2 linked regions of the Callithrix jacchus genome follow. The protein of the gene in region 2 purifies or fractionates together with the protein of the main gene of each other region. This does not show direct contact. Links are inferred from orthologs where the notes say so. Each region holds a gene or a part of one and is shown on either strand. Other genes may lie near its edges. The genes, in order: DDX24 and TSPYL1.

Region 1 (3,811 bases), on a different chromosome or scaffold from region 2:
TGATACCACACCATGGCATTCTGCGATGGGAAGAAGGCATTGCCTACACCATGTCACCTGAGGCTTGTTTCAGAAAAGGCAGTGAGGGGGAAAGAAGAGATATCATTTATTACCTGAGCTGCCGAAGGTTCCTCAAATGATAATGCTTTTCTTTAATTAGCTCCCACAGCCGTCCTGGAGTGGCAATCACAATCTCAGGATAACGGTTCAGCATCCTCTGCTGTTTCTGCGTGGACATTCCACCAACCAAAATAGCAGTTTTAATTCCTATGGGACAGAATACATAAGGGACACTTATTGAACCTGGGTGCTCATTTTCTTACATGGATGACACAAGCACCCCAGATTAGCCGAGACAGTCACCAGCACAGCATAATGCTCTAGAGCACTGATAAAAGAGCAGGCCTGGCCAGACTGCTGGTGCCACTCCTAGAAGGCTTACCAAGTCTTCTATGAACTGGGTCCTACTTCTTTGACCTCATTTCTTTTCTACTCTCTCCCCTCCAACCACACCAAAGGGGCTGAATTTGAACCCATGTATGCTTACTTCCAAAGCTCTGGGAAAACGGAACACTGGTGTATCACAATGCTATGGGAAATATTACCTGCAGCTGTGCTACACCTCTCCTAGGAAGCCTTTCCCATTCCCTCAATTAGAACTATTCTGAAAAGTCCTCTAATGGCCTGTTCTATTTTCTTCTCTAGTGGAAAACTTCTTAGTATCATGCAGGTGAATGGCTTAGTGCTTTGCACATATTAACAACTTGGTAATTAACTGCTGCTTTTGTTATAAAATTAAAATACCCAGAGTGAAGTCCTTCCCAGAGTGAATTCCCTGAGAGAATTAAATCCTAATTGGTGAGCGCAGGGATCAGCAAACTTTTTCTTAAAAGGTCCCTGGTAAACATTACTGGCCTCTTAGGCCAGATGGTCTCTGTCACAACTATTAACTCTACTCAACTTTGCCTTTATAGTACAAAAGCAGCCATAGACAATATAAAACCAAATGGGTGTGGGCGTGTTCCAGTAAAACTTTACAAAACCAGGCAGTTTGCTAATCCCTGCCCTGAGCATCCAGTGTAGCCAATAAATTTCCCAAGCATCTACAATGGCACCAACTACATATTATCCTTGAGGGAATTGCGAAAATGTCACTTAATTTTTGTAGGGCTTAATTCTTTGGCTCATAGGTAAGAATGGCTTACCCTAGAAGGCAGGAGCATAGCTCATTCATCTTTACCACCCAGCATTTGGGATTTGCTTAGAAAATATTTATTAAATGGAACTAAACCTCACCTGTAAACCTGGCCACAGCATCAATGTGCTGTTTGACCTGGAGAGCCAGCTCTCGAGTGGGTGTCAGAACCAGTCCAAGCAGAGGACGCTTTGGATATGCCTTACAGGTGGCGCTTTTGTCATCCAACTCTTGTTTTAGATTTCCGGGCTGCTCTTCATCAAGCTTTTCCTCCTCATTCTCATTCTGTTTGGGAACAGACTTCTCCCTGATCAGGGAAGACGGCCCTTCACCAGCATCATCATCACCAAAGAGCAACACCTGGTCTGAGACAGTGCCTCCAGTCTTGGCTCTTGCCTCAGCTGCAGTATCACTGGGCAGTGCTTCACTCTCAGTTACAGTATCAGGCAACACTCCAGACTCAGTTTCAGCCTTGCCTGGTGATCTGGTCTCAGCTTCGGCCTCAGTTGTGGTCTCTCTAGGTGGTGCTTCAGTGTTTCTTGGAGCAGCGGCAGCCTTCCTCTTATGCCACTGCAAAACTGCATGAATCATTGGGATGGCAAAGGCAAGAGTTTTCCCACTTCCTTAAAAGTAAAAAAACAAAACAAAATAAACACAGTATGAATCAACAGATGAACATACTTTAGTGTGAAATTCATTCTTTTGCACAGAGTAAGGTAGCCAAGTGCCACCCTGACCAACCGAAAGCTCCTCCACTCTACACAGATTTTACCCCAAGGAACCAGAAGGCACAAGTAAATTAGAACCCAAGGAAAAGTATGGCAGGCTAGCTCTTAGGTCTTAGATCCAAGAAATGAAACAATGAAGAGATAAAGGACAAGTTTTGGGTCTATGTGTTGTTGTGGGGGGTGAAAATTGGTAATCTATACAATACTTTCCTAAGACCTTTCTTTGGTGAGAAAGGACTAAAAGAAAATTTTCCTAGTTTTCAGAAAATTTAAATATAAAACTTTTGTCTATGCCTGAACATTTTCAAACTTGCCTTTCAATGTACACAGAGTCCAAATCATCTGGGTGGTCAAAACAAAACACCTCAGGCAGAGAATTTAAAGAAGTTCCAAAGAGATAATGCCCTAGGCAGAAGCCAATAAATGCTTCCTCTAGGGAGAAACCCTTATCGTAGGTCCCCAAAAATTTTCACAATTTTCAAAGAAAATAAGCAGCTCTCAGTAAAAAATAACCACACAAAAATAAAATACTATAAGGAAGAAAGAGAGCAAAAACAGACACATCAACTTTTTGATAAGAAAAACAATGGGCCAGGCGTGGTGGCTTACGCCTATAATCCCAGCACTTTGGGAGGCCAAGGCGGGTGGATCACAAGGTCAAGAGATCGAGACCATCCTGGTCAACATGGTGAAACCCTGTCTCTACTAAAAATACGAAAATTAGCTGGGCATGGTGGTGCGCACCTGTAGTCCCAGCTACTCAGGAGGCTAAGGCAGGAGAACTGTTTGAACCCGGGAGGTGGAGGTTGTGGTGAGCTGAGATCGCGCCATTGCACTCCAGCCTGGGTAACAAGAGCAAAGCTCTGTCTCAGAAAAAAAAAAAAAAAAAAAACAGACTTTTTACCAGAAACAATGAAAAGCCAGAAGACAGTGTAGCAGTATTTTTTATTTGAATGCGTTTAAAAAAAAAAAACCCTGATGCTTTGGGAAGCTGAGGTAGGTGGATCACGAGGTCATGAGATCAAGACCATCCTGGCCAAGATGATGAAACTCCATCTCCACCGGAACAGGCGCTGGTGTCCATGGCTGAGAGACCCGTAGAAGGTTCACATCACAGGACTCCGTGCAGACAACCCCCAGTACTAGCCTGGAGTTGTCTAGACCCAGAAGAGAGATCTGCAGTTTGATGGCAGCTATTGATGCCACTCCTGGAATCAATAGAATCCATTCACATCCATAGGCATCAATCACATCTATAGGAAAAGGGGGAGAGTACTACATCAAGGGAACACCCCATGGGACAAAAAACACCCCATGTAAACAACAGCCTTCAGCCCTAGATCTTCCCTCTGAAAGAGCCTACCCAAATGAGAAGGAACCAGAAAACCAACCCTGGTAATACGACAAAACGAGGCTCTTCAACACCCCTGAAAAATCACATGAGTTCACCAGCAACGGATCCAAACCAAGAAGAAATCCCTGATTTACCTGAAAAAGAATTCAGGAGGTTAGTTATTAAGCTAATCAGGGAGGGACCAGAGAAAGGCAAAGCCCCAATGCAAGGAAATCCAAAAAATGATACAAGAAGTGAAGGGAGAAACAATCAAGGAAATACATAGCTTAAAGAGAACACAATAAAAAAATTCAAGAAACTCTGGGCACATTTTTAGAAATGTGAAATGCTGTGGAAAGTCTCTGCAATAGAACTGAACAAGCAGAAGAAAGAGATTCAGAGTCAAAGACAAGGTCTTCAAATTAACCCAATCCAACAATGACAAAGAAAAAATAAGAATAAATGAACAAAGCCTCTAAGAAGTCTGGGATTATGTTAAATGGCTAAACCCAAGAATAATCGCTATTCCTGAGGAAGAAGAGAATTCTAAAAGCT
Region 2 (4,450 bases):
TGAAATCAAAAGAACGTACAGCTCAATTTTCACAATAAGCAGAACCAAAAAAATAAGATTTTACAAAATCCTAGTAAAATAACAATCTTCCACATAAATTCGGTCACAAAAGAAGAAAGCAAGCATTCAAGGTTGCACTGTGTTTCTTTAAAGAACCCTTGTCTAGGCAACAATTTAACACTTTAACCCCTTCAATTATCCTTTAACTATCCTGAGAAAAGTATTTCTCCATTCATCACCACTGGGGAGTAAGTACTCCTTCCTCCTCAGCTCAGTCTTCATTCTAGGCCCAATTTTTACCTGGCCCATGCCTCTAGCCGTTTGTTCAGTTTTCCCTGCTTAGTGCACCCATCACAATCTCTTTAGTTCTTCCATCCGTTATAAACTAGATCTCACATTTCATTCCATCCAGATGTGTCTCCCTTTAAGTATTCTAGGAGTTGATAAAAGGGATAGAAAGTTGGGAAGAGAAAAGGGGGCGTGGGGGGAGCAATAAGAGCTGTATTTTACAGGACAACCTCTTTGTCTCTGAAAATGACAGAGCCAAAATAAACTAAAGTTTGCTTTTACAAATATTTCCAAGCTTTTACTTTTTTTTTTTTTTTTTTTTTTTAAAGAGACAGGATTGGGAGGCTGAGGCGGGCAGATCACTAGGTCAAGAGTTTGAGACCAGTCTGGTCAGCATGGTGAAACTCCGTCTCTACTAAAAATACAAAAATTAGCCGGACATGGTGGCACGCGCCTGTAGTCCTAGCTACTCGGGAGGTTGAGGCAAGAGAATCGCTTGAACCCGGAGGCGGAGGTTGCAGGCGGAGATCCAACCTGGGCGACATAGCAAGACTCCGTCTCAAAAAAAGGAAAAAGAGAAATAGGAGCAAAAAGGAAGAGGGAGAGAGGGACCTTGGCAGCAGCCAAAGCAGGGCAGGTAGCAACAGAGTGATTAGAGGTGAAGGAAGAACAATGAAGTACCATAAATCACACAGAACAAGTAGCTCCACTGCTTTTCTCCTCTGAGTTCATTAACGTTCAGTAACTGTCCACAGGCCATGTGCCCATACTGCCCGATGCAGTGTTAAGTAGATAGAATAGGCTCCCAAAGCTAGAAATCCAGGTGATAGCAACCAGTTCAGAGGCCCTGGGAATTAACAGGGTCCAAGCAGTACCAATAAAGGCAGTACCAACTACAGTATCATTTGCTTGGCTTAGTAGTCTGAAGGATGGCGTCGTAGCATGTGATATTCCAGAACAGCATGGAAGTGGAGAAGCATACCCACCACCGTCTCAATCTTGAGGTTGAGAGAAGTGAATATCCAAAGGAAAGAGGGTGCAGAAAAGTCAGCAAAAACAAAACACAGTAGAAGGCATACCATTTCTGTTGCCCAAGCACAGGTCCAGCAGGTGGTGGTAGGAGACCTTGTGCAGGAGTATTCCCAAGGGCAAACGTTAACCCGACTGGAACCCAAAGGGCCTGGGGATCTCAACTGGCTCCCTTAGTGGGCGGCGTCTGGCTCTACGGACTCCTTCACGCAACAGGTAGTATTGCAGTGGATTTGGCCACAGATCCTCTTTAATAATTTCAGCAATTTTGTCGGACTCTGGAAGGCTGTGGTCTGAGAACCAGGTGAAGAAGCTGCAGATGAGGTCTTGGTTTCTGCGAATGAAGGACTGGGGTTCATGCCCCCTGCGCCATATAATTGGAGTGGAAAGAGACACCACTCGGCCGGAAGATCTTACCTCATATTCCTTGACAATCAGCTTGTTTCTGAAGTAGGGGTTTCTTCTAAAGAAGAATTTGAACTTGCAGCCAGTTCTAGGGTGTCTGAGTTCCTTCACCTCTAAATTGGTTATGTACCTTAACATATCTGCATCTTGGCCCCTGATCATGGCGGACAACTGGGGGTGGTTTCGAAAAGCAGTCATCCAGAAGCCCGGGATATTCTGAATGATGTAGTTCCTCCGCTCCAGGTAGTGTCGACGCATCCGCCCAAACTTGTGCTCTAGTTGTTGGAAGGCCCTATCGGCCTGAGCATTCACAGTGTCCAGTTCCTGCTGGATGGCCTCCAGAGGGTCCATGCGGAGAGCCTCATGCAGACGCCACGGCCCTTCCTCCTCCCTCGCCTCTACTTCTTCACCTTCTGGCGGCTGCTCCTCTACCTCCATCTGCTCCTCCACTACCTCCTCCTCCGCCAGGCCTTCCTTCACCACCACCTCAGCCCTCTCCTCCTCAGCCACGGCTGCTGAGACAGTGGCGCACTTTCCTCTCTTCACCTCCTCAGCCTCCGTCCCCGCCCCCGCCGTCAGCTCCGACGCGGACCTCTCGGCGTCACAGATTTCTAGGGCCTTCTCTCCATCCTGAACGCCCTTTTTCAGGCTGTGGTCCGCTGCCCCCACCACAGAAGCGGCTGCCAGGCCCTCGGCAGGAGGCTGGCCCTCTTCCTGCCCGGCTGTGATCGCTACATGACCGCGACCCCCAACAACTCGGATCTGGGGAGTACCGCCACGGCCCGCGGGATCCTGGGGTACGCACCCTTCCTCTGAAGGCTGCGGGGGCGGGAGCGCGACGGTCTCCGAGCCTCCCTCACCCAGCTCCGCCATCACCTGTGTCGCCTCGCTTTTGTCGCGGAGCCTCAGGCACTGGCGTGCGTCCGGGTCGCCCGAGACGTCGTCAGAAATAGGGATGCTGTGCGTTTGAACGGGAGGGGTCTTCTCGACCCCATCCAGGCCGCTCATGTTGGTCACAGTCGGACCGACCTCAGGTCAACGCCCGTTTTCCTCAGAGAAGCAGCGCTCGGAGGTAACTGCCGCTCGCACCGCCCACCCTCGGGTCTGAGGGAAGTCTCTGCGGCGGTGTCGTCAGGCCTGCAGATCTCACGGTATCGCGAGACCTTGCTGAGCCCGGAATTGGTTCCGCCTCTTCCAGCCAGCCAACCGGATTCTCTGGGCTTTACTTCTGTGAATTTACCCATAGCAACAGTCATTTTACCTACGTAAAGAAATGTAGATCGTCCTTAGTTTGGAAGCTGTGACGACCCACCTTGAGATGAATCTGGAGACTGCCCCCAGCATGTGAGAGCAGTTGTAGAATCACAGCCCTAACAGTGCCTGCTCTTAAGTGTCTCAAAACAAATGCTTTTCCGGTCTTCACTTTTTTCAAGGCAGGAAGGCAAATCTATTCCGTGTTACTCCATGTAACTAGGAGCAAAAAGCTTCTCTAAGATGAATAGCAAAATGTTTCTCCCCTTCTTAGTAAAAGTGACATAAAAATATAAAGTCTAGCCTTTACCATTACTGGGGGTGGGGGGAAGCTACTCAGCAGCTTCTTACCACTAAAGCGATGCGTATTATTCATTGCTAATTCTCGATTTATAATCTCCATCAAATAAGAGTTTGTGCTGCATAATATCGGTAGGAATTAAGCCAGGATCAATTTGCTAAATGTTGTTCCATGCCTCCTCACTGCAAGAAAGAAGAAATGATAACTATTTCCGGCCCCATAAACTTAATTTATTATGTTTAGTTAAGTAAGATAGGAATGTTTGGCTCTAATGAGGCATCTGTCTTTAGCAATCAGCTAAGAGTATTAGAGAGGAAGGTCAATGTCTCTGGTTGAAGTGTTCCCGTTTGTTAACTTGTGAGTTAAACTTGTGTTATCTTAGAGAGTTACAAGGCCTCAGAGAAGTATCAGCTGGGGGAGCCACATACCACCATTTTGTGAGGAAAGGCTAATTAAAATGGACAACCAATGTGGCCTTGAAGTAGAAAACAAACTTGCAAAGAGCAACATGCAGCTGGTTGACTCAAAGTGTAAAAGAGGCAAACATTATTTTCCACTTAATTTGCCTTGTGTGGTAGTAGGCTGATGGCCCTCAAAGATGTGCCTGTCTTATGTGGCTAAGAAGACTTCACAGATATGATTCAGTTAAAGATTTGGAGATGGGAAGATGATTCTGGATTATACAGGTGGGCCCTATGGAATTACAATATTTCTTTTAAGAAGGAGGCAGGAGGGTCAGTCAGAGAAGATGTAAGGACAAAAGCACAGAAAGAGGGAAGAAATGGTGGAAAATAGGAGGGGGAGCAAGGAAAGGGAAATTGCTATGTTGCTGACTTTGAAGATGGAGGAAGGAGCCAGGATCCTAGGAATAAAAGTAGCCTCTAGAAGCTTGAAAGGTAAGGAAATAGATTCTACCCTAGAGCCTCCAAAGGAATGCCAACACCTTGAGGTTATTACCTATAACCTCCAGCACTATAAGATAAATTTGTGTATTTTTAAGCTATTAAATTTGTTGTAATTTGTTACAGAAGCAATATGAAGTGAATACACCTTGGATTAAGGTTTGGTTGCATCTGCGCGTGCCTCAAGCTGTTTCTAATAGCAGCCCCTTCTGCCTTGCTCATTGCTTCCCATGAGTTCCTGCCTAACAGTTGTGATGTATTACAGCTTAAACCT

What was found.
Region 1: the proteins of TSPYL1 (region 2) and DDX24 purify together in Homo sapiens (affinity purification with mass spectrometry; 3 studies listed by BioGRID and IntAct, counting the BioPlex papers as one, with this or other methods). This does not show direct contact. The link is inferred for Callithrix jacchus from reciprocal best matches to the Homo sapiens genes TSPYL1 and DDX24.

What each region holds. Positions count from the first base shown.
Region 1 is NC_133509.1:128,882,578-128,886,388, forward strand, and holds part of DDX24 (ATP-dependent RNA helicase DDX24), read right to left. Parts: intron 3,415-3,811; exon of another isoform or gene 3,315-3,414; intron 3,177-3,314; exon of another isoform or gene 2,852-3,176; intron 1,819-2,851; coding exon 1,297-1,818; intron 268-1,296; coding exon 114-267; intron 1-113. UniProt on the Homo sapiens protein: ATP-dependent RNA helicase that plays a role in various aspects of RNA metabolism including pre-mRNA splicing and is thereby involved in different biological processes such as cell cycle regulation or innate immunity.
Region 2 is NC_133505.1:122,618,757-122,623,206, forward strand, and holds the start of TSPYL1 (testis-specific Y-encoded-like protein 1), read right to left. Parts: upstream 2,829-4,450; 5' UTR 2,731-2,828; coding exon 1,444-2,730; 3' UTR 1-1,443.